Linked DNA regions of Oryza sativa Japonica Group. Each later gene encodes a partner of the first gene's protein in a complex. Links are inferred from orthologs where the notes say so. Each region holds a gene or a part of one and is shown in the gene's direction. Other genes may lie near its edges.

What was found.
Region 2: mediator of RNA polymerase II transcription subunit 23 (region 1) and mediator of RNA polymerase II transcription subunit 21 share a complex: the UniProt entries of both Arabidopsis thaliana proteins name them as parts of the mediator complex. The link is inferred for Oryza sativa Japonica Group from reciprocal best matches to the Arabidopsis thaliana genes AT1G23230 and MED21.
Region 3: mediator of RNA polymerase II transcription subunit 23 (region 1) and mediator of RNA polymerase II transcription subunit 27 share a complex: the UniProt entries of both Arabidopsis thaliana proteins name them as parts of the mediator complex. The link is inferred for Oryza sativa Japonica Group from reciprocal best matches to the Arabidopsis thaliana genes AT1G23230 and AT3G09180.
Region 4: mediator of RNA polymerase II transcription subunit 23 (region 1) and mediator of RNA polymerase II transcription subunit 16 share a complex: the UniProt entries of both Arabidopsis thaliana proteins name them as parts of the mediator complex. The link is inferred for Oryza sativa Japonica Group from reciprocal best matches to the Arabidopsis thaliana genes AT1G23230 and SFR6.
Region 5: mediator of RNA polymerase II transcription subunit 23 (region 1) and mediator of RNA polymerase II transcription subunit 28 share a complex: the UniProt entries of both Arabidopsis thaliana proteins name them as parts of the mediator complex. The link is inferred for Oryza sativa Japonica Group from reciprocal best matches to the Arabidopsis thaliana genes AT1G23230 and AT3G52860.
Region 6: mediator of RNA polymerase II transcription subunit 23 (region 1) and mediator of RNA polymerase II transcription subunit 13 share a complex: the UniProt entries of both Arabidopsis thaliana proteins name them as parts of the mediator complex. The link is inferred for Oryza sativa Japonica Group from reciprocal best matches to the Arabidopsis thaliana genes AT1G23230 and GCT.
Region 7: mediator of RNA polymerase II transcription subunit 23 (region 1) and mediator of RNA polymerase II transcription subunit 8 share a complex: the UniProt entries of both Arabidopsis thaliana proteins name them as parts of the mediator complex. The link is inferred for Oryza sativa Japonica Group from reciprocal best matches to the Arabidopsis thaliana genes AT1G23230 and MED8.

Annotation. Positions count from the first base shown.
Region 1 is NC_089036.1:31,041,886-31,045,524, reverse strand, and holds part of mediator of RNA polymerase II transcription subunit 23, read left to right. Parts: intron 1-7; coding exon 8-225; intron 226-575; coding exon 576-789; intron 790-1,092; coding exon 1,093-1,379; intron 1,380-1,790; coding exon 1,791-1,874; intron 1,875-2,083; coding exon 2,084-2,178; intron 2,179-2,380; coding exon 2,381-2,543; intron 2,544-2,619; coding exon 2,620-2,865; intron 2,866-3,385; coding exon 3,386-3,553; intron 3,554-3,630; coding exon 3,631-3,639. UniProt on the Arabidopsis thaliana protein: Component of the Mediator complex, a coactivator involved in the regulated transcription of nearly all RNA polymerase II-dependent genes.
Region 2 is NC_089042.1:2,024,961-2,029,172, reverse strand, and holds mediator of RNA polymerase II transcription subunit 21, read left to right. Parts: upstream 1-1,403; 5' UTR 1,404-1,518; coding exon 1,519-1,842; intron 1,843-2,143; exon of another isoform or gene 2,144-2,226; intron 2,227-2,363; coding exon 2,364-2,435; intron 2,436-2,708; coding exon 2,709-2,760; intron 2,761-2,874; coding exon 2,875-2,951; 3' UTR 2,952-2,962; intron 2,963-3,431; 3' UTR 3,432-3,665; downstream 3,666-4,212. Other genes in the region: major pollen allergen Ole e 10, read right to left, coding at 3,991-4,016, 4,109-4,212. UniProt on the Arabidopsis thaliana protein: Component of the Mediator complex, a coactivator involved in the regulated transcription of nearly all RNA polymerase II-dependent genes.
Region 3 is NC_089035.1:8,936,579-8,940,756, forward strand, and holds the start of mediator of RNA polymerase II transcription subunit 27, read left to right. Parts: upstream 1-1,373; 5' UTR 1,374-1,398; coding exon 1,399-1,727; intron 1,728-3,500; coding exon 3,501-3,662; intron 3,663-4,178. Other genes in the region: pentatricopeptide repeat-containing protein At5g57250, mitochondrial, read right to left, coding at 1-1,181. UniProt on the Arabidopsis thaliana protein: Component of the Mediator complex, a coactivator involved in the regulated transcription of nearly all RNA polymerase II-dependent genes.
Region 4 is NC_089044.1:19,711,381-19,715,019, forward strand, and holds part of mediator of RNA polymerase II transcription subunit 16, read left to right. Parts: intron 1-20; coding exon 21-620; intron 621-1,024; coding exon 1,025-1,643; intron 1,644-1,727; coding exon 1,728-1,807; intron 1,808-2,432; coding exon 2,433-2,515; intron 2,516-3,054; coding exon 3,055-3,291; intron 3,292-3,639. UniProt on the Arabidopsis thaliana protein: Component of the Mediator complex, a coactivator involved in the regulated transcription of nearly all RNA polymerase II-dependent genes.
Region 5 is NC_089039.1:3,232,290-3,236,426, reverse strand, and holds mediator of RNA polymerase II transcription subunit 28, read left to right. Parts: upstream 1-1,486; 5' UTR 1,487-1,558; coding exon 1,559-1,751; intron 1,752-2,149; coding exon 2,150-2,262; intron 2,263-3,121; coding exon 3,122-3,256; 3' UTR 3,257-3,613; downstream 3,614-4,137. Other genes in the region: U1 small nuclear ribonucleoprotein A, read right to left, coding at 3,999-4,137. UniProt on the Arabidopsis thaliana protein: Component of the Mediator complex, a coactivator involved in the regulated transcription of nearly all RNA polymerase II-dependent genes.
Region 6 is NC_089039.1:22,067,976-22,072,389, reverse strand, and holds the start of mediator of RNA polymerase II transcription subunit 13, read left to right. Parts: upstream 1-1,488; 5' UTR 1,489-1,627; exon of another isoform or gene 1,628-1,833; intron 1,834-2,753; exon of another isoform or gene 2,754-2,801; 5' UTR 2,802-2,836; coding exon 2,837-2,860; intron 2,861-4,186; coding exon 4,187-4,260; intron 4,261-4,360; coding exon 4,361-4,414. UniProt on the Arabidopsis thaliana protein: Component of the Mediator complex, a coactivator involved in the regulated transcription of nearly all RNA polymerase II-dependent genes.
Region 7 is NC_089037.1:18,123,827-18,127,958, forward strand, and holds the start of mediator of RNA polymerase II transcription subunit 8, read left to right. Parts: upstream 1-1,247; 5' UTR 1,248-1,419; coding exon 1,420-1,643; intron 1,644-1,766; coding exon 1,767-1,891; intron 1,892-2,668; coding exon 2,669-2,793; intron 2,794-2,898; coding exon 2,899-3,082; intron 3,083-3,217; coding exon 3,218-3,325; intron 3,326-3,538; coding exon 3,539-3,606; intron 3,607-3,926; coding exon 3,927-4,132. UniProt on the Arabidopsis thaliana protein: Component of the Mediator complex, a coactivator involved in the regulated transcription of nearly all RNA polymerase II-dependent genes.

The DNA of each region.
Region 1 (3,639 bases):
GTTGCAGAGACTCAGTGCTGGCAAGATTGGCTTTTATTTGCTGACATTTTTTTCTTTCTGATGAAAAGTGGCTGTATTGATTTTCTTGATTTCGTGGACAAGCTTGCATCTCGAGTAACAAATAGTGATCAACAGATTCTTCGCAGTAATCATGTCACTTGGTTACTCGCACAGATTATCCGCATTGAGATTGTGATGAACACCCTTAGTTCGGACCCAAGGAAGGTGATGTCTCTTTCTAAGATCATCTGCAAACACCTCTTTCTTTTGGTGAATCATATTCAATTGATTAGTTGATGACATGATTTTGGTACCAAAAAAAGATTTCCTCATGAAAATATTCAGAGTGCTTTATTTTGTTTCGTGCTCATCTTTTGGGAACTGCAAGGACTAACAAGTAATAACAGCGATCGACAAACTCAGCTAAACTAATCTCACATCCAATTGCTATAAAACTTTAAATACATACAAACTTTTGGTAATACTTCTAATGTTTCCTTTCATGATGTCTTGTGGTTGTCTTAATTTACCGTCTATAACTCTATATACCATTCTGGTATTTCTTCTGTTACCAGGTTGAAACTACAAGGAAGATAATTTCGTTCCACAAAGAAGACAAGAGCCTTGATCCAAATAATATCAGTCCTCAAAGTATTCTTCTTGATTTCATAAGTAGCAGCCAAACTTTGCGGATTTGGTCTTTCAACACTTCAATTAGAGAGCATTTGAACAGTGATCAGCTTCAGAAAGGCAAACAGATAGATGAGTGGTGGAGACAAATGACAAAAGGTACTTGGTACTTGTCCTTATTCATGGAATATGAAAGTATCACTATGCTTTTGATATAAAATATTGCCTGGTAGATCTAGAATTCATGGAAAAGAAATTCTCCGGTAGATTCTGGGTAGGCAATATGGACTGATTAAGTGTAGAAAATTCTACATAGTAACACCACAACTCATAATTCAGGAGGTGGATACATTTTCTTGAAAAGAGAGATATTTGGCTGTAAACCATTACTGTTATTTTCAATTTTGTCCCCATTCATGTATCTGTAATAAAGCTTTGTTACTGTTTCCCTTGCAATAATAGCTTCTGGGGAGAGGATGATAGATTTTACGAGCTTGGATGAGCGGGCGATGGGCATGTTTTGGGTTCTCTCCTTCACCATGGCACAACCAGCATGTGAAGCAGTCATGAACTGGTTTACATCAGTAGGAGTAGCAGATTTAATTCAGGGACCCAATTTGCAGCCAAATGAAAGAATGACAATGATGCGTGAAACTTATCCACTGTCTATGTCATTGCTTTCTGGGTTGTCTATCAATCTATGTTTGAAACTTGCTTTCCAGCTTGAAGAGACCATATTTCTTGGCCAGGTAAAAACACTGTTGCTGCTTATCTTTATTATTATTTTTTTAACTCTGCTCTTTATGGTTTGGAGACCAGTGCTCATGTGCCTTTAATTATTACTGAAAAACATCAGAATCAATATGTTACAATCTATCCTGAGTAAAAATAAAATGACAAGCAATTCATATGTTTATCTTTTATCTATTAAGATCTCCTGGCATAATAGCTCATGTTAATGAACTTAGCTGTAATATATGAATGATTTATAACTTTATATGTTAATGGTATATGACCAGCTCATCATTTTTGATCTTCGGAATGACTTTGCTAGAAGTGCCCATATAATCACAACTATATGTTCTTCTGTTGACGTACTAATGTCCATCTCTCTTTACCATACACTAATTTTCTTACATAATTCTTCTGTTCTTTGGTAGAATGTTCCTAGCATTGCTATAGTGGAAACCTATGTTAGACTGCTGCTTATAACCCCTCATTCATTGTTCCGCCCGCATTTTACGGTAAGTCTTGCCTCCTGTTGTAATCTGTAGTATTCATGTGAAGTTTATGGCTTTATGCTACCTTGTGATTAACAGTTGATTATTCATTTGCTCTGATTTCTAAATTAACTTTCTGCAATTGTAAGCATAATTCAGTTTCCTCAATAACATGCAATTCATATTCCTTTTTAAACTCTGATGTCTTCCTATGGTTTTATTAAACCTTGCAGACATTAACACAAAGATCTCCATCTATCCTGAGCAAATCTGGTGTGTCTCTGCTCCTACTTGAGATACTGAATTACAGGCTACTTCCTCTATACAGGTAATTTAAGTAATTTAATATTTGTTTTCTGCTATTTGCCTTGAAAGCCTTTTCTTATCATGCATATCCACAATTGGAATGTCTGACCTCAGCAAAAAAGGTTTGATGATCATTTAGAAAAAATCTTAGTGTTTTGTTCCATTTATTGTTTATATTATGGTGCACCTTTTGGTTTACATCTATGTGAATTTCTTCTGCTCAGGTATCATGGGAAAAGCAAGGCATTGATGTATGATGTTACAAAGATAATATCAATGATTAAAGTCAAACGTGGAGAGCATCGTCTTTTTAGATTAGCAGAAAATTTGTGCATGAATTTGATTCTCTCACTAAGAGACTTCTTTTTGGTGAAAAAAGAATTGAAGGTAACCTGCTTCATCTGGAAATTTCACCTGTTACTAAATTCGCATAAAGTGAACTTCTTTATTTATGTAAATGTAGGGTCCAACTGAGTTTACTGAAACACTTAACCGCATAACGATAATAAGCCTTGCTATCACCATGAAGACACGTGGAATTGCTGAGGTCGAACATATAATTCATCTTCAACCATTATTAGAGCAAATTATGGCAACGAGCCAGCATACATGGTCAGAGAAGACTCTAAGATATTTTCCTCCCCTTATTCGAGATTTTTTAATGGGGAGGATGGATAAGAGAGGCCAAGCTATCCAAGCATGGCAGCAGGTACTATTATCTTATCTTTTGGATTGAGTACTTGGTGTCTTGGCCATTTATATGCTCCTTTTGACTATTATATGGAGTTCATATACATTCGTCGAATAACAATTTAGGGAGTTTATAGTTCTTTTGTATCAGTTGTTGCCAAATCATGCTGCTGTTAGTTGATTTTTTTAAAACCATGTAATCACTCTTTTATAAGCAGTCTATTGATGGAGAATGTACTGATGGATTTTACACTTTTTTATGTACTATTACTATTACAAACGGCAATGAATTCTTTCACCTCTAGAATGGTATTAGCTGGCTAAGATAAAAATTGCAGTCTTGTTTTGAAATAGGCTTAGATTAGCAGTATAGCAAGACTAGTTTTAGAAAATTGTAAGATCTCGAAAAGTCTTGAATTTCCAAGCCAGTACTATTTCTGGTGTCCTTTAGTTGCTATAACATGCTTATTAAATGAAATGCTTTTCTAGGGCAAAATATTCCTTACCTTTTATGCTTGATGATTTATCTTCCATTGCAGGCTGAGACAACTGTTATTAATCAATGTAATCAGCTACTCTCACCATCTGCTGAGCCAACCTATGTTATGACATATTTAAGTCACAGTTTCCCTCAGCATCGTCAATATCTTTGTGCTGGTGCTTGGATGCTGATGAACGGACATCTAGAGATCAACAGTGCAAATCTTGTATGATTTCTAATTAGCAATTATATTGACATAAAAGATTCTCTCTATGTATATATGTCTTTTTAATCTTACTGCAGGCCCGTGTT
Region 2 (4,212 bases), on another chromosome or scaffold:
GAGAGAGAGAGAGATTCAGGAGAGGGTCGACGGCGTCGAGGAAGCCCGCGTGGTCGGCGGCGCGGCCGTGCTCGGAGGGGATGACGTTGGGGATGGTTCGGAGGCGGCGGCGGCGGAGGAGGAGGAGAGGAGGCCGAGCCGAACTGGCGTCCCGCCGCAGTCGCCGGCTTGTGGTCGATCTGCAGGCTGTCAATGCTGGGGTAACTTGCTGCTGTCCCGAAGCAAAAAACAACAATTTTCCAGTGTTGAAATCAATGTCATCCAACAATCCAAGACATGTAAAACGTTACCACTGGATGAATGATGCAAGAACAATGGTAAATGTCAGATTCAATTCAGGGTTCTCGTTCTTGTGGAGTCACTCACATTCAGATGATGCGGCTGCGACGAGGGCACACCACCCAGCTTCTGCTGCTGATACTTGCTCCCGTTCGCCTCCTGCAGGAGATCACCATTGAAGAGGCTGCGACAACCCTAGCTCCTCCTCCTCCTCAGACCATTTCCTCCATGATAGGCTCCCTCCGTGGCCGCGGCCGCCGCGTCCGCCCTCGCGCTCCTCCTCCTCCTCCTGTCCCGCTCGCCGGTAGCACGAGGAGCCGCGTCCACGTCATCACCTACCGCTCCCCCGCCGCCTCTGCGGCCGCGGCCGCGCTCCCGTGGATCGACTGGGCGCGCACGGCGTCGATGAAGGCGGCCCCGGGCTGTTGTCCTTCGCCTCCGATCCGGGCAGCGTGGGTCGGTCGCTGGCGCTGCTCGTGGAGTTCGCTCATGGTCGGCGGCGGCGAGGCCCGGCATGGTCGGGTGAGGCAAGGTGGGAAGTCACGCGGGCGGCGGGTGAGGCTCATGGTCGGCGGCGGCGGCGAGGCCCGGCATGGTCGGGTGAGGCGAGGTGGGAAGTCACATTGTCGGCGGCGGCGAGGCCTGGCATGGTCGGGTGAGGCGAGGTGGGAAGTCACGCGGGCGGCAGGTGAGGCGGGCGGCGTGGCTGGCGTGCGTTCTTTTTTTCGTTCTTTTTGGCGTGCAGTTTCTTTTTTCGGAGCAAGACGCGGTGTTAATCCGGTGCTAATTGTAACCGCAGGATTAATCCGGCGCTAATTGCAATCATGGTGTTAATTACACTAAACAACTCGTGCTTTTTATATTAGTCTAGATTAGAGTCCAAGTCCGATTCAATTAGTGTTAACTAATCGGGTGAGTTAATTGTTAGTAATAGTTTGGTTTAATCCTGGGCCGTCCGATCCATTTGTGTGTGGATCAGATCTGGACGCGTGGTGGTGATGTGATGCAATTTTCCGCGTGGGGTCCCTTGGTTCCTTCGTAATCAAGCTAGCCATGGGCCCACGTGCCAGTCAGAGAGTGGCTTGCGCACTGTCGATGTGCTGGGCCCACCAGTTTTCTTTGATGGGCCTAGATGTAATTGGGCCTTGGTGGATAGAGAGGAGGAGGAGAGAGAAGGAGAGGGAGAAGAGGAGGAGGAGGAGGTCGCCGGCGGCGAGGAGGGGGACGAGATCGCCGGAGATGGACATCATCTCGCAGCTGCAGGAGCAGCTGAACGAGATGGCGATGGTGGCGGTGAACACCTTCGGGACGCTGCAGCGGGACGCGCCGCCGGTCCGCCTCTCCAACAACTACCCGGACCCGCTCAACCCCGCCGCCGCCGCAGCAGCAAACCCTAACCCCGACGACCCCGCCCAGCCGCAGCCTGGAGCGGCGGCGGCGGCGGCGGCGGGAGCTCCGGCTGCGCAGGCACAGGCTCCGCCGGCGCAGGCCCAGCCGCCCGCGCTCGACCTCGCCGAGCATCCCAAGGCCATGAGCCACGCGCTCGTCCTCGCCGCCAAGAAGGTACGCGTCTTCCGTCGCTTATCTTCTCTGCTTGCCACCTGCTCGATGAAATGCCTGAGTGCCTGCTGGTTCTTGGGGTCTGACGCTTTAGGGCTTGGACTGTAATTTTTGGTGTGACCAGCCTTAGCATTTTTGTGTGATTGCAACCACGGTCAGGGTGCCTGGTTCTTTGAAAATTCTTCTACTTACAGAATCATATCTTCTATAGTGAGATTGTTCATGTAGTGTGGTAGAGTACTTTAGTTGCATTGTGCTGTTTTTTAGCCCTCTCGAGATAATTTTGAATGGATCTGCAAAATAGGAGCTTCACTCATATTATTCCTCGCAAAGAAGGGTTGACGATGATGTGGATCACACCAATCTTTGTACTGTTCCTCGCAAAATGTAGGTGGGATGATGGTATGCAGCACACCAACCTCTGTCTCCAGAGGGCAAACTTTGCATCTGAGAGTACACTTGAAATGTGCTACTAGCTACTGTTTCCAATACCGTTCTCTTTTTTTTTTGGTTTTTTTATGCAGTTTGATGCTCTTGTTTCTGCGTTGCCACTATCATCTGAAGAGGATCAGCTGAAAAGAATTAAAGAGCTACAGGTATGTCTCAGTTTTGCCCTCTGAGCAGTACATTGTGAAAGGGTGACATTAAGCTAGTGTCTTGTGAAGATGGTATCTTTGTGCATGTTTCCTTCTGTTTTTTTTTTCCTACGCCTTGTGGATGGAGTTTCATACTAAGGTTGTCCTCCTTAGTCGCTTGCTTTCTTCTGAATGAAGGTTTAGCAGACGCTCGGCAGCATGTCCTGCCATAGTATCAGTATTCATGATACTTGTGTCCTGCAGCTAAAATGCTTATGAATTTGAAATGCGCAGGCAGAGAATGAAGTTGTAGGCACAGAGCTTCAGAAACAACTGGAAGCTGCTGGTATGCTTTGCTATTACATTCTTGGAATATTTTGCCTTCATTATATAATTCCTCACCATGTTACAACTGATTATTTACAAGTCCAGTGTTTTACATGTCTTGTTGCTTTTGTAGAGCTGGAGCTGAAGCAAGTTGAGGCTCTTTTTAATGAAGCTACAGATCATTGTATAAACTTGAAGAAGCCAGAGTAATAGTTATCAATGTAAGTTTGGATTTCTCCCTTCACTATCTCAATAAATCTTTAGCTTTTTTTGTGCTTGCAAAAAATTATGCTTGCGCTTATGATATGGGATTATTTTGTGACCAGCTGTATAATCCGCTTGACTTCCCAAACTTGGTACACTGTATTATCAGGAAGTCAGGATACTGATAACAATTTTGTTCTTATGGTGCTTTTTGCAGTACAATATTCTACATGCACCATTTACTAGATGGCTGTTGGCATCATGTCCATGATCAATTATTGGTTTATGTAGTTTATGTACGATGATGGCCTGAACAAAACATAATTATGGTGGATGTTGACCTGTTATATTAATCCCTCGCAAGATGCTTTCATAAAACCCTCTGGGGGCTTGTCTTTCTGTTGATCAGAAAATTCCAACACAGTGTTGTTACGTATGATCGTAGTATCACTAAAATGACTTATGTTTGCTTTCCTGTCATATCAGGTAACGGAACCCATTTTGGAGTCATGAACAGATGAAGGTGGAGATGTGAATGCCAGCTGCCGATGCTACATGTAGACTCAGTTTTAGTATCAAGTTAGCTGATGCTCAACAATATTCCAGTAGTACTTGTTGGATTAGGAATTAAACCTAGCACTGTAATTTACAGTAACTTGAATAGTTTCAAGCTGGTTCGTTTAATCTGAAATAATTTGAGCATAACTTCATGTTTATTTATTATAGTTGGGCCACTGTTCGTTCACAGCAGCACAGGACCATATAGTGCTATGCAAATACAATTAAGACATGCCTAGGATTCATACTCTTTGAACTTTGAAGAACTGCACTGAAGATATGGAACAATATTATCTCGGTATAAAGCATTCCTCTCTAAAGATTACCCAAACATTGAGGCTAAACATGACTTGAATTCTAGCAACTCTGACACTGAAATATAGAACACCATATTTTCTAGGGGCACTTGGACAAACAAAACATCCCTTGAAAACTTTATTTGTCAAGCTCCAGAGATTGGCTGGCTAACTTGGAGCAAACTCTCAACTCAGGCATACTTGCAATTGCCAGAACCTGCAAAGGTTGGCAAGAAAGCCATGTAAATTTGCAGGATTCAGGTGAAAGAAACAGCAAGTGAAGCAAGCTTTGAAGAGGCTAATACTTACTGGGATCAGTGATGGTGATGAGGCCAGTGCCGTTGAAGAAGCAATTCCATGAGTTCCTCCCCCTGGCCTGGTAGTAAGCGTTCATGGTGACCGACGCCCGCGTC
Region 3 (4,178 bases), on another chromosome or scaffold:
TGACCAACCTTACATAGACCATTTATTACTGAATTGTATGTTACGATTCCAATCTTTATCCCCTTTTTATCCATCTCTTCAAGCAAAGAGAAAGCCCTATCCAAATATCCCTTTTTGCACAAATTGTCAATCAAAATTGAGTAAACATATTCATCCACCACCACTCCTGTCTGTTCCAGTTTCCTCACTATAGAAAAAGCATCATCCAACCTGTTTCTCTTGCAGAAACCACCAATCAATGATGTATAAGTGATCAAATTCGGCTTAGCATCCCTTCGGTTCATCTCATCCAAGAATCCCATCACTTTTTCCACACTACGTTCTCTGCAAAGTCCATCAATAACAGTAGTATAACTAACTACATCAGCTGCAATGCCCTTATCTAACATCACCCGATGCTCACGGAGCCCTTTCATCAATAACCCGCTACTCATGTATCCATGAACCAAGCTGCCATATAAAACAGCATCACCAACCAACCCCTTCCCTTCCATCTCCCTTACCAATTGTGCTGCCTCAGTAGTTCTCCCTACACGGCCAAGCACATCGACAAAAGCGGTTAATGTGATCAAGCCTGGCTCAAATCCATTGAACTCTCTCCTCACCCTCCTATAGAATTCCAGCCCATCCCCAGCCTTCCCGACCTTGGAGAAGCCTGAAATGATCACGCTGCAAACACGATCATCCACCTGACACCCCGCTGCAGCCATTACGTCGAACACCTTGAGCGCGGTCTCCATGTCACCGCGGGCACACAGCATCGTCAGGGCCACACGATACGTGGACGGAGAAAACACGAGCCCGCACTCCTCTACGCCGGCGGAGAGCACCTCCAGCGCGCGGCGAGCATCGCCGCGCACCGCGCAGGCCCGGCGGAGCAGCGCGTCCCAGAGGCGGCGCGCGGAGGAGGTTGCCGGGCCGGCGAGCGCGAGGCGCGCTGCCGCGTCGCGCGGACGGGAAGAATCTAGAAGCGCCGAGGCGACCAGGAGGTGGGTGCGCGCGGTGGGGCGCACGGAGTTGGCGACCGCCTGCGAGGCGAGCGCGCCGACGAGGCGGTGCCTCCGCCGGCGGAGGAGCGCCGCCAGTAGGATGTCCACGCGGCGCGGCGTGACGGCCCTTCCGAGCTTGACCAGCGACGGGAGCGGCGGTGGTGGTCGGGGCTCGCCGCCGGCGAGCGGCATGGCGGAGGGTGGTGGTGGTGGCGCCGCCGCCGCGTGGGAAGCGAAGCGCAAACGTTCGAAACGTTGGAAGCCGATGGCGTGGGCCGAATTTGGATACGAGCTTGTTTGGATCTGGGCCTGAATAGATATGGGCTTGTATTGGTTCTGGGCCTGTTTGGATATGGGCTTATTTAGGTGAGGCGTTTCGAGTCGGAAGCGAGAAGGGGAGAAGAGGAAGATGCAGCAAGCGCAGGCGTCGGCGGTGGTGGCCGCGCCGGTGGCGGCGGCGGCGGCGGCGGCGGCGGGGGCGACGGGGCACCAGCACGAGGGGGCGAGGGGTGACGCGCCGCCGAAGCAGGTGGCGCAGGCGATGGAGCGGCTGGGGCGGGCGGGGCGGCTCATCGCGGACATCCGGCTGGGCGCGGACCGTCTGCTCGAGGCGCTCTTCGTCGCCGGCGACGCGCCCCCGCACAGCGCCCCGCAGCACGTTGAGAAGACCGCGCTCGCCGTCGCCCAGGAGGAGGCCGCCATGCACCGCCACTTCGACGACCTCCGCGCGCTCGGGAGGTAAACCCATCTCCGCCCCGTGCCCCCACACTCTCCGATTCAGAAGTTTTTCATCGATTCCTTAACCTTTGACTGTTACGTCGCAAAATACAACTAATTCCCTCCGAGAAGAACCATTCCCGTCATGATTCCACGGTTGCAGTCTCAAAATGAAAAAGGAACATTCCCGTCATGATACCACGGTTGCAGTCTCAAAATGAAAAAGAAATATTCCCGTCATGATACCACGGTTGCAGTCTCAAGAAGAAAAAGGAAAACCCTTGTCTAGATAATTTCTGGAAATTGGTGGCTGGGATATTGATTTAACTTCTTTGGATTGTATGATTGGACTTTTTTTAAAGTAATAATCTCCTTCCCAGTTTAGGCATGGCAGCACATTTTTTTTCCACTAAATTGTTCTGTAATAATGGTTAATCACCATAAACTGATGCCACACTCTTCTTTGGTGTTATCCAATTGCTTGTATCTTGTGAAACCCTTCTACCTATGAAACCTTGCTACGAGAGATGCACGGACAGGCTTAACTGCTCAACTTTGGTATATGAACTTTAGCATTCTAGAATATTGGCTGGGTGCCTGGGTCTATCAGATTGGGATGCATTTCTGGAACTCGTGTTCCTTGGCTTGTAATAGAGCAATATTTAACCTTAATTGAACAGCTTCAGCTTGAACTTGTTTTGGGGCTGTTTGGATCAGGGACTAAAATTTTAGTCCCGGTCACATCAGATGTTTAACACTAATTAGAAGTATTAAACGTAGATTAATGAAAAAATCCATTTCATAACCTTGAATTAATTCGCGAGACAAATCTATTGAGCCTAATTAATCCATGATTAGCCTATGTGATGCTACAGTACACATGTGCTAATTATGGATTAATTAGGTTTAAAAAAATTGTCTCGCGAATTAGCTCTCATTTATGCAATTAATTTTATTATTAGTCTACGTTAAATACTTCTAATTAGTATCCAAACATGCGATGTGACAGGGACTAAAATTTAGTCCCTGGATCCAAACACCACCTTAGTGCCACTCAGGGCTCGAACTAGTTTTAGTATCACTCGTGGATGGTAAGGATGTAGGGTAGGTGCTCACTCTATAATATTGTCTCAGCAGAGCAGTTATGTGTTGGGTACAATTGTTTACATGTGACCACTTGACCAGTCGTTTGTTGAAGAAGTCTGCAGGCATTTGGAAAATCCATGTTTCATGGCAACATGGTACTATTCTGTCTGATGAATAAAATGTCCAAGCAATATGAACTGCTTGTTAAACGATGGTTTTTGAGTCTTTCTGCAACCTGAAGTTGCTAGATAAACGGAAGATGAAATTTGCAGGTGATATAGTTATGATTTTAGACAGAATAGTTAGTTTGTGAAAATCCTGAAGTTAGGAGTACTAGATAAGCTTAAGCCATGTGACTGAGATTTTTTTAAGTCAAAGGATATTAGGAGCCATCTTCAATAAAGTTAGGTATGTGAACAGGATGGATTCACTCGATTTTGCTGGTGCTTTCTTATTGTTCTTTCACAGTATTCTTGTTATAGTGTTTGGGTTAGTTGTGCTTGTTGCTATTCATGATGTTTTTACTTTGTGATGAACCATCAATCATTGCTTACACAGTTCTCCTGGTAAGTTCCAATTATTTTTATTGAACTTCAAGTTTCAAGTTCCACTATTTCTTCATAAGTGTTGGCCTAGCCAACTGAAAGTAAAGATCTAGTTTTTAAACTGTAGCCTAATAAATATCTTGTATCCATTGCTGTTAGGAAGGCAATTGGAAGAGTCTGGAGTTCTAAATGGAGCCCTTAAAGCCAGAGGCAATTCATGGGGCTTGCACATGCCACTTGTTTGTCCAGATGGTGCAGTTGTGGCATATGCTTGGAAGCGTCAGCTGGCTGGTCAGGCTGGTGCATCAGCTGTTGACAGAACTAGGTAATTTCATTACCATCATTGTTGTGTTGTATGTTTGCTGCCACAATATGATGTGCTTATTTGTCTTATTTATATTCTGTTGATGTGTGAGATTTCATCAACCGTGCATTGCAGAATGCAGATTAAATATTTATACCATGTTATTTCTTCCTGCGATATACGATAATTTTCTTGGCCGATAAATTTGTACTGTTGTTTCCCTCTTTCCCCTTTAAATTTGTACTGTTGTTTCCCTCTTTCCCCTTTTTCCCTTATTTCTCCTTTTTCCCTCTTTTGTTTCTTCTTTTGCACTTTGCTTTCTCTAATCCTTCTACTATGATAATTACATTCTTCCAAGGTGTGGAGTGCTTTTGTAGGAATTGAAGTATTAGATCAGTTCTTGTTTTCGTTGCATCCATATTTTATTTTGATTTTACACAGAATGCATCGGAAATATTCCAACGCCCTTCATTCATGTGCTTCTTTAGATGTATGTACTTATGTTGAAGGCTTCAAGCCTTCGGATCATCCCCTAGT
Region 4 (3,639 bases), on another chromosome or scaffold:
CATATTGCTGTTTACTGCAGCTGGGTGGCCAAACATTCTATGTGTCTGTTCAGTTTTTTCATCGGGTTCTGTTCAGCTTCATTGGTCACAATGGCCTTCTCAAAACTCAGCACAACCTAGATGGTTTTCTACTAGCAAAGGGCTTTTAGGAGCAGGGCCAAGCGGCATAATGGCTGCTGATGCTATTATTACTGAAACTGGAGCATTACATGTTGCTGGTGTTCCCCTTGTTAATCCATCTACTGTAGTGGTTTGGGAGGTGATGCCAGGCCTTGGCAATGGTATTCAGGCAACTGCAAAGATAAATGCAACAAGCTCTCTTCCTCCATCACTAAATCCCCCACTCTGGGCTGGTTTTGCTCCACTTGCATCTTACCTCTTCTCTTTGCAAGACTACCTTGTTTCCGAGGGCGCACAGACAAAAAAACAGGCACAGGTAGATAATGAGACCACTGAGGTAGCATCGATCCATTGTTGTCCAGTTTCCAACTTTTCAGCTTACGTCAGTCCTGAAGCTGCTGCCCAGTCAGCCACTACCACAACATGGGGATCTGGGGTTACCTCAGTTGCTTTTGATCCCACTCGAGGGGGATCAGTTATTACAGTTGTAATAGTTGAAGGTGCGTATATGACACCTGGGAAATGAATTAGTATGATGCAATTGTCACATCTCACTATGACTATTTGTTTCTGATGAATGGCATGAACATCAATGCCATTCATAATCACCACACTAATCCTATGATCATCCAACAGCTTTAATAGTAGGAGAGTTAATCTAACTATGTATGTCCAGAGCATGCTTATACATGTTTTAGCTCCCTTTAGTTGCTTTTGTTGTTTCTTTGATTTGCTCTGGTAGCTTGTGCCATGGTAATAAAAGTTCTTGTCTGTAAATGCTATATGCATATTCTTTTAAGGACTTTTGGGGTCTCTGAAATTTATTAAGTGAATCGGTTGATCTTAGGCTCTTGGCTAATGCTTATTTATTTTTTCTGACAATTGTTAAACCACATACTTCCAGGGCAGTACATGTCTCCTTATGATCCTGATGAAGGACCTTCCATCACTGGATGGAGAGTCCAGTGCTGGGAATCTTCAGTCCAACCTGTTGTTCTTCATCCAATATTTGGAAGCCCTGCAAACTTTGGTGGACAGCCACCTACACAGACTGTTTGGTCCACAAGAGTTAACAAAAGCATCCCACCATCTGAGGACCTTAAGAACCCTCAATCATATGTTCCAATGCCAACAACTTCAGATGAGCGGAGTTCTTCTGAGTGCAGTGTTGACAGGGCGAACCGACTTAGCTTTGACCCTTATGATCTTCCAAATGATGTCAGACAATTGGCCCAAATAGTTTATTCTGCTCATGGTGGTGAGGTTGCAGTTGCATTCCTGCGTGGAGGTGTGCACATTTTTTCAGGTCCAAACTTTGAACAGGTTGATAGCTATCATGTCAATGTTGGCTCAGCAATTGCTCCACCAGCCTTCTCCTCCAGTGGTTGTTGCTTGGCATCAGTATGGCATGACACACTCAAAGATCGAACCATACTAAAGATAATACGTGTGCTTCCTCCTGCAATTCTTAATGCTCAGACAAAGGTTAGCTCAGCTGTTTGGGAACGAGCAATAGCAGATAGGTATCCACCCAAGTTAACAGAGGTTGATTGAAATGATTTATTTGTTGAAAATGTTTTTTTTTATAACTGCGATCTTTTTAGCAGATTTTGGTGGAGTCTATTGGCTGGTGTGGATTGGTGGGATGCTGTTGGCTGCACACAAAGTGCTGCTGAAGATGGTATTGGTAAGGATGCTTATGCAGATGCAATTTAAAATTTGTGTATAGTATTTGCATTTCAATTGTGTTCTAGCTGTCCACACAATTAGAAAAGTAGGGATTATCTGCTACACGGTAGAATTTCCACAACTGTCACTCAACCTCTTAAAGTATATACTTCCTCCGTTTCATAATGTAAGTCATTCTAGCTTTTTCCACATTCATATTGATGTTAATGAATCTAGATAGATATATATGTCTAGATTCATTAACATCAATATGAATGTGGAAAATGTTAGAATGACTTACATTGTGAAACGGAGGGAGTAATTAAGAACAGTGTAACCAAGCAAATCTCTGTTTGGTTGTTTATAATGTTAAGACTTTAGAGCTGATTGCACATTTATGCTCCCAATTTGAAAGCATTGTGCATCTGCAGTATGATGAATTGTGTTTTGCTTCATTTTTCCCATTTGGATGTCTCAATATGTTAACATTATTTCCTGGTGTGAGTTGCAATACATCTTTTTAAGCTGATACAGAACTTTTCAGTAAGTTTCATCATTTTCTACATATGGTTGGTTAACTATTTCAGCACCTGTAACATTTATATTTGTCCATGATAAACTAAATCTCTTGCTTTTCCTTCCAGTCTCACTGAACAGTGTGATAGCTTTGCTGGACGCGGACTTCCATTGTCTTCCAACTATACAACAGAGGCAACAACACTGTCCTGTAAGTGTGCTGTGCTTTTAGTACATTATGTGCAGTTTTAAGCACAGGCCTTCAATTTTTCATCATCTACTGCCTACTGCCATTACTATGTGACATGCATGTCACAATATCTTTTTGGGTTCTTAAAGATTGTACATTCACCAATCACCAGTCTTTATTCCACCAGTAGTTGAAAGGGGGATACGAATCAAAATATAATCAAGATGACTTTTTTCCTTTTCTTTCCTGGACATAGTTTTTTAGTATTCTTGTGACAAGTCACTAGCACTGCTTTGCAGTTCTGAATGAACATTTTAGCATGAAGCTTGCCAAACTTTTCTATGAACATAAATTATATCTCTGGATGTATTGGTCAGAGACCATTTACGGTAGTATGTAGTTTGCTACTTTATTCATAATGCAATATATTGTAATTTGTGAGTTGGACAAGATTTGTTTTTCTAATTGTGTGTTTACCTTTTACTTCAGATTTTGAGGACTTGAAGTTGCAAGGCTATTGCTTTCTTCTGTTACTGATTAGTCTATTTTACTTATTGCAGAATCTTGATAGGATAAAGTGTAGATTGTTGGAAGGAACAAATGCTCAAGATGTCAGAGCACTTGTGTTGGACATGCAAGCAAGATTGCTTCTGGATATGCTTGGCAAGGGAATTGAGTCTGCCCTGATAAATCCATCAACTCTGCTACCTGAACCGTGGCAAGCTTCCAGTGACATGTTATCTAGCATTGGGCCTGACAAAATGACTGTTGACCCAGCTCTACTTTTAAGCATCCAGGTATACTGTGTTTCATGTTCTTTTGATTTCCTGGTCCACAGTTTCAGTTCAATTTGCTAATCTCGTTTTCCTTTTTTTGGCTATAGACTTAATATGGGCAAATGATGTTGCAAACCTTTTTGAATGATAAGCTATTTGTAAACCACAACCTATTCATGCATGAGGATGAGGCATGATATGCCACAGATTAACCATGCCATGTATGGAATTTACAGTATTTACAGCAGTATTTTGCTGTTTTTATGTTCCAAACCGACTACGATTCAAACAGCCTCCAGATAGCTTTCATCATAAGCTTTGCTCCTAGGTGTGCAGGAATTATGCTCAGCCCATCAACTGCCTCCAATG
Region 5 (4,137 bases), on another chromosome or scaffold:
TATGCAATCTGAGGATAAAATTTTAGATACTCGTGGCACACTTTTCAAACAGCTAAACAGTGTGTTTCGTACGAAAACTTTCTATATGAAAGTTGTTCTAAAATATCAGATTAATTCATTTTTCAAATTTGTAATAATTAAAATTTAATTAATCACATGTTATTATCACCTCGTTTTGCGTGAAACACTTAATCTTCATCTTCAGGAGATTCAAACACTACCTAATCATTTTTTTATTTGACTATCAATTTAGATTTGATCTTTTAAATATTAAGAAATTTAAGGGGCAACTTACAAAATTTACAATGAGGGTAGGTATGATGACATATTCACTATATGACATATCTCCGTTTTTTTTTTTGAAGAAGTATAGATTAGACCAATTGACTAGCCGACTGGGTACATCGGTCGTACTCCCCAAAATGGCACCAACCTAACCTAATGCTATATTAGATTCTGCTATAACTTATAATCAACTAAGGAGTATATTACATCAATAAAAGAAATATCTACCGATAACATTAAGTTAATTGTGACTATCACTGATCGATTAATTAGATGTATTTATGACAACCGCATGCATACGTGTCGAGCAGCAAAGAAGTGTGTTCACTTTTATGCTACAGTAAAAAAATCAGAAAGTCACGAAGTCAAGCAATATATGTTGCCATATTTGATGTTTAACACAAGATTAAATACACAAACATAAAGATAAATGGGACTTAAACAATATGCATAGGAAAAAAAATATTAGCATTTCATGTTTCTTTTTTCTAAAATACAACGGAAATTCACTGACTCCATATGTTCATATTGTAATCTAAGTTTATCTTTCAGTTAAACTTCTCTAACACCGGTTGGCTTTATAAAAAAAAATACAAAATCTGTAACACCAAATTAGTTTAATTAGATTCATCATGAAATATGTCTTTATTGCATTTATTTATTATTTTATATATTGGTGCATTTTATTCAAACTCAGACAATTAACTTAGAAAAAAATATTTATAGACCTAGAATTTTTCCCAAATAGAATTCCAGATTTATTTTCCAAATAGAAATATCATAAATATCATTATATATATATATATATATATGTATATATATATATATATGTATATATATCTATATATCTAATAAATCAAACTAAGTCTAAATAACTCTAAAACATTTATACATCCTAACAAAGGTATAAATATTTACAGGGTACTTTTAAGCTATGTTCTTCCCCCCATTTTCCCAACCCACCTATCTTGTTTTCCACGTGTACGCTTTTCAAACTGCTAAACGGTGTGATTTATAAAAAAACTTTATATATAGAAGTTGTTTAAAAAAATCATATTAATCTATTTTTTAAAATAAAATTAGATAATACTTAATTAATCATGCAATAAAATAAACTTCGTTTTGCGTGGCAGGAGGAGGGGTTCCCAAGCCCCTCCTCTGAACACAGCCTTAGTAGGTGCGCCAGGCGCACCCATTTTCTAGTAGTTTTTGGAAGAAGGGTTTCATTGCAATTTTGCGATCCCCACCTCTCTCTCTCTCGTCTCTCGCTCTCATGGCCGAGCCGCCGTCGCAGTCGCCGGCGCAGACGCCGCCGCAGGCGGCGCAGCAGCAGCAGCAGGGGCCCGGGGAGAGCGCGCGCGACGACATGATGGCCTGCGTGGCGGCGCTGGAGGCGGCGCTGCTGCCCTGCCTCCCCGCGCGCGAGCTCCAGGCCGTCGACCGCTCCCTCCAATCCTCCCACCAGAGTACGTCGGACTCACTGAGACTGACCCCGCCGCTCCCCCTCTCTCCTCCCTCTGCAGCCTCCCTTCCCCGTCGTTCTTGCGCTTCCCCCGGCCAAGATTTGGCGCGGCTGGTTTGGTTCGACTCGCCCGCCCGCCAGGTGTTCGCTGTTTTGCCTACGAGGTGGGGATTAGGAAGCCCCTCGTGCTCTAGCAAAATGTGGCGAAGTTATTTTTTCTTTTTACTTGCGCTGTTGGTACGCGGGCGTCTCGCGGGTGCTGAGATGAGATTGAGAGGGTGGCATTTGAGCGTTCTACATCTGTGTGCTCAACTGTCGATGTAGAAATTGGATTCTTTTGCTTTGTTGCTGGTTAGCAAAATAGGGATTCTAAGGTGTTGTGGTTGTTATAATGTGGAACAGTTGATGTTGAGAGGCACGCGAGGGATTTCATGGAGGCTGCGAAGAAGCTCCAGTCTTACTTCATCAGCCTGCAGCGCGAGGACCGACCGTCGACAGAAGAAATGCTTCGAAAGGTACATTGCATTGCTTTCGGAACAACTTTGCTTCGAAAGGTACTCCTTGACTTCGAAATGATTAGCAAATTAGAACTTTGTGATTAGCAAATTAGCCTGTAGGTAGAACTAGGACCTTGTTTGGGGGAGCTTAAGATTTTGAGAAGCAATTGGTTGGTAGTCAGTTTATGAGAATATGAAGAAGCTGGAAAGTTAGGTTTCTTGTTTCTAGTTTATTTTCTGTATTCTTTAACTACATCTTCTCAGAATCTAGATGAAAAGCTGAACTGTTTGAGTGAGCTTTTAATTTTAGGAAAAGCTGCAGCTGCCAAAAGCTCCCTCAAACATGCCCTAGGTTGGGTAAGCACAGAGTAACGATTTGACACCAGAGTACACAGACATGGGAGGCTGAGAGCTTGGGGATGGCGAGGGAAAAGGTCTAAAAAATATTCAATTTTCAAAGATAAGGGCTTGAGTTTGTCTCTTTTACAGTCTTGAATTGACTGGGCCAGCTCTAAATCAGTCCCGTATTGTTAGCACTAATTCTCTGAGATGTCTAATTGAAGTTTTTTTTCTGTGTTAGTACTCGTTGTGCTCAACATTTTAGAGTGCTTGAGATCCAATGGTTTTTAATATTTGGCCCATCAATAAGTTTAAAGCTATCTAGATTGGTTGTATAAAATCCATTTGACCCTCTCTTTGAAATCAATTATATTGATGTTATATTGCAACCGTTGTAAAAAAAAAATTGTGCATCGATTTTTCTCTATAAGCTTCATGGGAGAAATCAAGAGAAATCCTATATGGCGTGGTCCCCAAGCTGTAATAATCAAATAATAATGTGTCATCATGTTTTAACATGTCCAGTTTCGGTTTGCAGGATATTGCTATAATGGAGGAAGAGCTGAAGACCAAGTCCGAGCTCATCGACAAACATAAGAAGCTCATCGAAGGGTGGCAGAAAGAGCTGAAGGACCAGCTGGGAAAGCATGTTACTGAACTCGAAAGAGTGTGACACCACTGTCTTCCATGAAATGTCCCAGGCTCCTTCCGATGATCAACCTGAGTAGCCCAGTGCTGGGCTATGCCTTGGAGATTTTGAGTACGCCAGCCAGGAAAAAAAAAACACCACAACAATGTTTTAGGATCTGACCAGTTTGCCGAAGACGAACAAATTGCGCTGTATTAATGTTCGTTGCTATGTTCGGTTTATCATAATATTATTGTTCGTAGTTTCTCGTGTGCTCTCCATCTCATCGTGTTAGGCATGCCTAACATGTTAAACTTTTAGATTTTTCGGAGCAACATCTTTTTCCCGATTATAGGAGTGTATGATAACATGTGTGTTCAATGGAATTGTCTAATTGCCTCACTTGTCATTTTAGATGTTTCTTTCAACATATTAATGATTTAATGGTAATTGAATCCCACAGTTGCTGTCAGGTGACCATGGTGACACAACTACACAAGTATGACTATGAGATGGTAAATATTTTAACGAGGCTAACAGCAATAGCATAAATGTAAATCGTCTCAAGCTGCCATATTTTACACAAGGGAACACGAGTGGAACTAACTAGGAGAACTCACGACTGCAAAGATGGTTCAAATTTCATCTCATTCCTGAAACACACACGGGCAGCTGAGCAGTAGTACATTAACATGGTTGTCATGGTGTAGTCTACCTAACAATGAAAATCTATGGATTATGCGAAAACTTGGGACTACAACATTCATCGAGCAAGTCAATAGTACATTTACTTCTTCGCATACGAGATAAGCATCTGGTTATCTTTCGTAATTTTGAACCCCTGAAGATGGTTCATGGCAGCGGTAGCCTGCCCCTCGTCGCCGTACTCCACGAAAGCAATCCCAGGCTTTGCTTCAACCATTCTG
Region 6 (4,414 bases), on another chromosome or scaffold:
CATGTACATGCATTATCATCGTCACATATTCTTCAATCTTCATTAACCAAGCCTTTCTAAACTCATTGGGAAGGTATCACCTTAAATTGCATTATTTTCTTATCTTACTGTTGGATTGTGAATAGTGAGGTACTGACCACCAAGGAAGCATATTGTGGCAGTTGAATGAAGTGGTTAAAAGGGGTTATCTTTCTAAGAGGTGGCGTGTGGAACCACAGCCGGTCATTTTCCCAATAGAGAGGTTTTAACATTTTAGCCACAACACAGGACATCCTCAACTTATGCAACTGGTTTTTTTATATGGTTAACCAAAAATAGAGATAATTTGCCACCTATGTTCCTAGTGTGGTAAACATGTCTATAACGATCGACGATACTATTATTTCAGTTCAGTAATATAACTGATCAATGGATGCTGTTGGGAACAAGGGTGATTGCTGATGCCAAATTGCCAAACCATCTCACATTCTCACCATTTCAGGTAAAAAGGATCTCATCTCTTGCACTTGCATGGCAATACTAGAGCTGAGAAATAATCATACATAACTTTTTGAGCTGCATGCCTAAGGAAATCAATTTCAACAACTGTATATGCTCCTAGTTTTGCTAGAATATAAGTACAAACCAAAACAATTAATTGCTTGCTGTGTACTGCTCTAATCTGTAGTTTACTATACATATATACAATAGGTAGTATACCTGGACTACTATTGTATAGTATTGTACTAGTACAAATGTACAATAAAACCAAAAAGATGCACACACCGTGCAGTTTTCAACTCACTCAGGGTCCTCTTGCACTTACTTGACCTTGAGTGCAACTTTGTCACCTTCAATGTAGAGCTTCAAGGCGGTGATCACCTACCCCGGCAAGTCGGCGGGGCTCTCATCACCTCCGTTGTGTCGACATACCTCGCCATCCTCTGCACCGGGAGAGGCACCGGCAGGCCTTTGGGGAAGATGCCGGAGTTCCCCTCACCTTCTTCCCCCGCCGGCGGCGGTCGGCGCCGCATGCTGAACAACGCCGACAACAAGCCGGATTTGCATGGCACGATGAACGACCCATACTATTACGATTGCCGGATCTTGGTGGATGCCACGCCGGAGAAGTCCAGCCGCAAGAAGAGCACATTCGTGAGGCACTTCTCCTGCACCTCCAGCCACGCCCTCGTCAAGATTGCTGCCGCAATCGTCGATCCGCGTGCCGTTGTACTGCACGGGCGCGGTGCGCACGTGCGACAACAACGTCAACTCGCGTAGCCGGCTTGTTCTTCTTGCCTTCTGGGAAGAGCCGAATGAGCGGGCCTGTTTGGATTAATTGGGCTGGATGTTGATTTGGATCGTTGTGGTTGTCTTTTGTTGGATCGGACTGGGTTGGGCTTACAAAAATGCGGTTTGGTTTGGGCTGGATGCAGGCTGACTAGAAAGTTGATCCATGGGTTGTTTTTCTTTTATTTTTTATCAGAACCGCACGGTGAGCAAGGAGGTGGTGGGGCCACGGGGGAGCGGGGGCACTCCAGGTCGAGGGCGGAGCGAACTGACCCGACCACCACCGCCCCCTTCTTCTCCGGTTCAAACCGGCGGCAAGTCGCCGACCTCTTCCGCCGCCCACCGAGCCGCTTCTCCGGTGAGCCCCTCTAAGCCCTCCCGACTCCGCCGATTTAGACCGGGCTACACTAGAAAGGGTACCCACGCCGGCGTAGTTGGGTCTCCGACTCGTTGCTGCCCTAGTCGTCGATCTCCCCGTCCCCTCGCGGCGCGAGCTTGCCCGCCGCCTGGCCCGGAGCAGCGGCGTCCGTCGTCCTGCTGCTTCCGCCGCATCCTCGCTCGCCGGTGAGCACCCGCGCGCGCATCCTCTTTCTCATAGCTCTCTCTACCCACGCCTTTTCTGCTCGCTTTAACCTTAGCTTCACTTCTAGATCCGGGAACTTCTCTCTTTGCATTAAAACCATAGTACTAGTAACAGCTTGCTTCAAAAAAATTGGGGGTTCAACTGAATCCCCGTGCCCCACCCTGCTGTTTGCACCCGGTTCTCTGCAGCTTGGTTGGGGAGGAAGACTGTGGCTGTGTTGCAATGCGAATTTGGCTTGTTCGCAGATGTTATTAGGATGGTGGACTTCAGTAGATTATGTGAGTAGGCTAAAGCCTAAAGGGAAGGTCGTTCTATCATTGTGATGTGTTTGGAGGGGCTTGACTTAAATAGGTAGCTTCCAGATCAAGTAGTTTCTATATGCAGTAGGTCATGGAAGCTTAAATCATGCATGAAAGTTACACCTCACACGAGGCAGAGGTAGGGAGTTTGGAAATATATACCTTGTTCCATGTGTTAGTAATTGCTCATGTGGAGCAAAGATATTGAGGCTCTGCCATTTGTCACATCTTCCATTGAAAGCAATTGCTTATTTCAATGACACCTAAGCATGAAAACTGAAGATCTTATCCCCTTTGCAATTTGTGCATTGGGAATAAACAATTCTCAGCCACTGCATGACCATTAAGAACATTTGCATTTCTCGTTGAACCATTTTGTGTTTACTGTTTACCATTTGCCCCATCTCATGCTTCTTAAGCGTATGATATTGCAATATGACTTGTTCCAGCTCATTAGATCTGGAGTGCAAAATTTAGAGTAATAGGCCCCCTCTATCTGCATGTCACACACATCTGATATTACTCTTTCTTGTATGTATGTAGAACCTTAGTTCCATTTGTTATACAGATGGAATCCAAACTTATTATATCTCATTTCACAGATAGAGGTACATGTTGCATGCCTCATCTTATAGGCTTGTACTTTCCAGGCTGAAACTCCGGTAATCGCATAAACCAACAGAATATGTGGACAAACATCTTCAAGCTTGTAAGTCAGATATCTCACTCCTGTTTCCCCTTATGTTCTATTCAGTTTATGTTGGGCCTCTATTTACAACATGGGAATCCGGTATCTTCCTCCATTTTATTCACATCACGAATGCAATCTTTCCAGTCTTGCTTATAATGTCATTGGGAGTTTTGTTCTATATTGGTCTTGGCAGTAGATAAAATTGTTTTGATTTCATTTCTTTGGTACATATTATTTTTTCAGATGTTTTTGGGATGCTAATTAGAGACCCTCGGTGCTATGTTTACTCTTGCATAGGATATTTGAAGGTTGACATATTTGATCGTAGTCACTTTTACCTATTTCTGATAGAAAAAGGTTGAACTATTTTGTTGTTTGATCCATTTTTTGAGGGGACAGCATCAAGGAAAGCCCTAATAAAGCAATAAACCTTTTTAAATGAAAACAACTTGAGAAAGTTAAAAAAGAACAGGACAAGCTGCTCAACCTGTCAACCAACAACATCCACTCAATTTCGACAGCTGATTTCATGAGTTTCACAGTGACTCCAACTTGCTCTAGATTGTAGGAGCATCTTTCTCCATCTGAAGCAATAAGAAGTATCTCCTTGGAAGGTTTATCTTATCCTGTCCAGCCAACAATGTAACTGCCAAGTGTAACAACTCTCTAAAGAAATCTCTAATAGTCCATGCCATCGGTCTTGCATGTGTCAAAAAGGTCCAAATTCCATTGACCCATTCATACTGTTTCAGTCCCCCCAGACACAGAATCTTGTTGCCTGGCTAGTGTGAGGGTAGCCACTTTCTATAGTAATGTATGGGATTTGTGACATGAGTACTATATGCTTGCATAAATATGATACCTCAACTTTCGCAATTATACAGTGACAAAAGTAATGGCAAAAAAGGATCATGGAGATCTTTAAGAATAATGGCCAGATAAATTTACAGCTTAGGCCTCGAGATCCTTCACAAATTGTTTTCCCTGGCACCTTGTGTCCTATCAAACTTTCTGTTTGTTGCACTGGTATACCTTAAATAAATTCTTTTGCAATAAAAAGCTCATAAAAGGAAATAAAATAACGGAACCCCTGGCTAGAGATTTTAGATAGTACATCTGCCAAATGTCAGAACTGAACGCAGGTGAGAGTTGTTACCGACTAGGATGCCACAGTTTGATTTTTGGGTAGGTCTGCCAGAGTCAGGTAGGGCTAACTTTGCAATTTTTCAGATAGGATTTGTGTGTTTCATTTTCTTTTTGTTTATTGTGTAGAAAATTTGATTGTCCACAATCATGAATCATATATAGTCTTTTAATCTTAATTTATATGTTTGGCCTTTATAGGGGGAGCTCCAAAATGTATCGTGGTTTCAGTTTCTTCCTGTTGAACCAGATCCAAGTACAGCTTCTGAGAGAAGGTGTTCTTGGCCTTTTGTGATGTCTTCTAGTTGCCTTTGTCACTCTTTACTTATGTTCTGATGCATTGATTCTTTGTTTGGATTGCTGTTCTTCTTTCAGTTCAAAAGCTGAGCAGAAAGATGCTCTTAACAACATTGTGCTGTCAGCACATCT
Region 7 (4,132 bases), on another chromosome or scaffold:
GATTTCTTTTTTGGGATTCTGGTGTCACAATATAGCTACAAGGAGATATATGCGACGTGTTGTGACGCGGAGGGAGCTGAGAGCGAAAGTGTTGCCTACGTGGCATGCCACGTTGGCGGTCAAACACAGCCAAAGGACGTTTGGACCAAGGTGATACATTAAGGCTGTGTTTAGTTCAGCGCAAAGTTTGGATTTTGGTTGAAATTGGAGATGATGTGACTGAAAAGTTGTGTGTGTATAACAAGTTGATGTGATGGAAAAGGACTGAAGTTTGGATCTAAACTTTGGATCTAAACACAGCCTAAACCAAGTTCACGGACCTAAACGTGTAATTTTCAAGTTCATGAACCTAAGTAACAGCACAACACAAGTTTAGAGACCGGCCATATATTTTACTTAAAAAAAGTAACAAATAGTACCATGATCTTAGCTCCTACTGTTAGCATTGTCCTCAATTTTATGGAAAGCAACAAAACTTGAGATTTAAGATATAAGGAGTTAAATGATATGATTTCAGTGTTCACAAGCAAGAATACTCTACTATAATTTATTGTTGTTTGTAGTACATACAACGCTATGTCTGGGTTGGATTAAAACCTTATAAGGGGTAGTATGAAATTGGCCTATGCAATAGTAGAAGGAGATAACATGGGACCAAAATATTGATGTTTGGGGTTTGCTCAAAACATGAGTTTATGTTGGAGCTAATTGACAAAAAATAGAACATGTCATAAAATGAACTCTAATCATGTAATGTTTGTCATAAATTTAGTACTTCCCATTACAACTTATACGACTTCACTACTTATAATAAAATTATATTAACTATATGTAACTACATTAAAAAACCATGCTATCATAGCATCAGAAGTGTTTCTTCCAAGAAAATTCATTTTTCCCATCCCCAGTTACATGAATATTGGAGCGAATCTAACGGTTAAAAAATCAAAAAATTTCCTCGTGAAATATATAAATTAATCTACTTCATTCGTCTCAATATAAAGCAACATAACATGAAATGGAACGTATCCTATTACTATGAAGTAATTCCGGATACTAAACAAGGCTTGTTGTCTATTTCGCTCGTATCCCATGGTTTACAGGACAACACAAATTGCTCGGTTTTCTTTGGTAAGTTTTTATTGAAAAAAAATATTCAAAGCGAACCTTTTCTTTTTTTCTTTAACAAACTTTGAGCCGATTTTACCGGTTTTCGTGAAAACGGGGAAAAACCACCTCCCCCTCCCGTCCTCATCTCGCGGTCTCCCTCTCTCCAACACTCAAATTCTCCGGCGCCGCCCTACTAACTCCGACGGCCCATCTCCGCCGCCTCCGCCGCCGGCGTGAAGCCATCTCCGCCTCCTGTGAAGCCCCCCAACTCCCGCGAGCTCCTCCACGCAGCAGATCCGGCGAGCTCGGATGGACGCGGCGGCGCTAGGGGCGGCCGCCGGGGCGCCGAACCCGGCGGCGCCCGTAGGAGGGGACCAGCAGCCACGGACGGAGCGGCTCAGCGCCGGGGTGCAGCAGCAGCTGAACCTGGAGGGGATGCGGGCGCGCGCCGTGGGCCTGTACAAGGCCATCTCCCGCATCCTCGAGGACTTCGACGCCATCGCCCGCGCCAACCCCAACGCCTCCCCCAAGTGGTAGTACTTGCCTCACCTCCATTCCCCCATCCCCCGATCGCCCGCTGGACTCTGTAGAGGATTCAGCTTCCCCTTTCTAGGGTTTATGCAATGCTGATTCGTGCCGTGGTGCGTGTATGGCAGGCAGGATGTGCTTGGGCAATTCTCGATGGTGAGCATGGAGCTCTTCAATATCGTGGAGGACATCAAGAAGGTGTCCAAGGTGTTTGTGGTCTACCCCCGAAACGTTAATGCCGAAAACGCTGCCAGTATGCTTGCTGTTCCACTTCTCTTCTCTTGTGTCACCAATCGATCGCTATATCAGTAATAACCACACTAGTTAGGTAGATCCACAAGCATAAAGTTTGTGGGAAGAAGAATACATGAACATAATGTAGAATGGAATTGCTCTGCGTAGTTCAAACCTTCACAAAATATTGCCTTGGGCAGCTGTTACACGCTACCCAGCTAAGCAGACCACTTTTGATTCCATGACCTTACCAAACAGAGTCTTCTCATGTTCAATGGTGCCCAAAGCCAGATGAGAAGACAGGTCACCTGTTATGAGAACCAAGAAATATACTATGTGATTTCTGTTATGAGCAACAAGGATATATGAGATATTATGGTTATGCTGCATTTGGTAATGAGTAGTTCATATATATACATGTCATTTCTTTTACGAGTTGTTTTACACATGAAGAACCAATTGTTGACCTTTCTCACTTCCTAGCAATAGTTATTCCTTTGGTTTAAATATTGAGATTAAACTTCAGGCTGATATGGCTAATTGGCTTTAGTTAAACGAATTTTATCCTAGGGTAAATTGGTAAAGATATTCCTAATGTAGCATGGGTAGCCATTTTTGTCAACACTTTCCTATTTCTGGGATAAGTGTGATAGGAATCTAAAAATGACCTAACAAGATGCTAATTGGTCACGGTTGCTGTATATGGTTGGGATGCATCGCAATTTGTGTTCCCATGTTCATCTGCTTCTAGTTTTACCACATCGTTAGTCCTGTTTGATATTCGTGAGTACTGCAGTACTGCCTGTAATGCTGTCGTCAAAGCTGTTACCTGAGATGGAAGCTGAAGAAGCTACAAAGAGGGACAACTTGTTGTCTGGAATAACGAATCTAACAGTTTCTGGACAAATTGAAAAGTTAAAGGTGATTATTTCTGTCTGGAAAATGCAAACCTATGTAGCTTATTATACCTGCGTGATCTTTTCATTATCTGTTAATTTTAATGGGACTTGCTGCTATTCCTTTCAGACTAGGATAGATATGATTGGAAGTGCATGTGAAACAGCTGAGAAAGTAATTGCTGAAAGTCGCAAGAATTATGGTCTAGGAGCCCGTCAGGGGGCAAATCTTGGTCCTACATTGGACAAGGCACAGGCTGCAAAGATACAGGAGCAGGAAGGCCTACTTAGAGCAGCGGTAAATTATGGTGAAGGTGATAAGCATTAATGGTGTATTAATATAGCTATCAGTTTAAAAATTACTTTGAATTTAATTTTAGCATAAGCTTCTCCTTTTATGTAACAATTTCATTGTTTATAGTCCATGATGATTTAGTCTGATTATCCAGGATTGCGTGTACCGGGAGACCAAAGGCAGATGTATTCATCTCTTCCTAGCCATTTAGTGGACGTACTTCCTTTTGGAGATGGGGCACATAATTTTGGTGATAATTCTGGTCTGTTTCTGTGACATACCTACAATTCTCCATGGTTCACTCCTTGTTTTGAGCATTGGAACTATAGCATCAATGAGTTGTTCATCTGCTCTAGATGTTTTTTTATATAAAAATAATCAATAACTTGCTGCTACCCTTAGTGTTGCCATTTGTGCAGTCTGTATGTCACACAATGCTTCAACAAAAGCATATAACTAGAGTCTATACTTGCAGGTGTGTACCCCAAAAATACCTCAACATTTGTACCTAATGTTGTCAACGCCCAGGGAAATCCAATGCAGGTTTGTCTAGTGCCAGTAATAACAGCTTTGACCATTACGAAATTAATAGAATATGTCCATATTATTGCTAGTTGGGCTGAAAGCAAAAAAAGTTACAAAAGGCAGATGTTTTGTTTCCCGTGTATCAATTTGCCATATAATTTGTAATGGTATATTGGTATTCCTTTCTATGATCAACTGTATTAAGTGTTGGTTAGAATGCTTTCCCTTGAACTATTATTAAGACAATTGCATTTCATAAGAGCAATCACCAACCTGACCTCATGCAGGCCTTTGATGTTTCTATCTTGATGTTCAAATTTGGGCCTTCATTCTAATAGCAGGTGTCTGGAGGACAGTTACTTGGCAGACCTGCTCCATCACCTGGAGCTACAGGAACGCCTAATTTTGAAAATGTATCTACTCCTCCAATGCCATATGCAAACTCCCCTAGGTCAGGGACCAATATGATGAACACCCCTTCACCCCAGCAGCATTTGACGGCACAACAACATAGGCAAAAACTGATGCAAACATCTCAGCAACA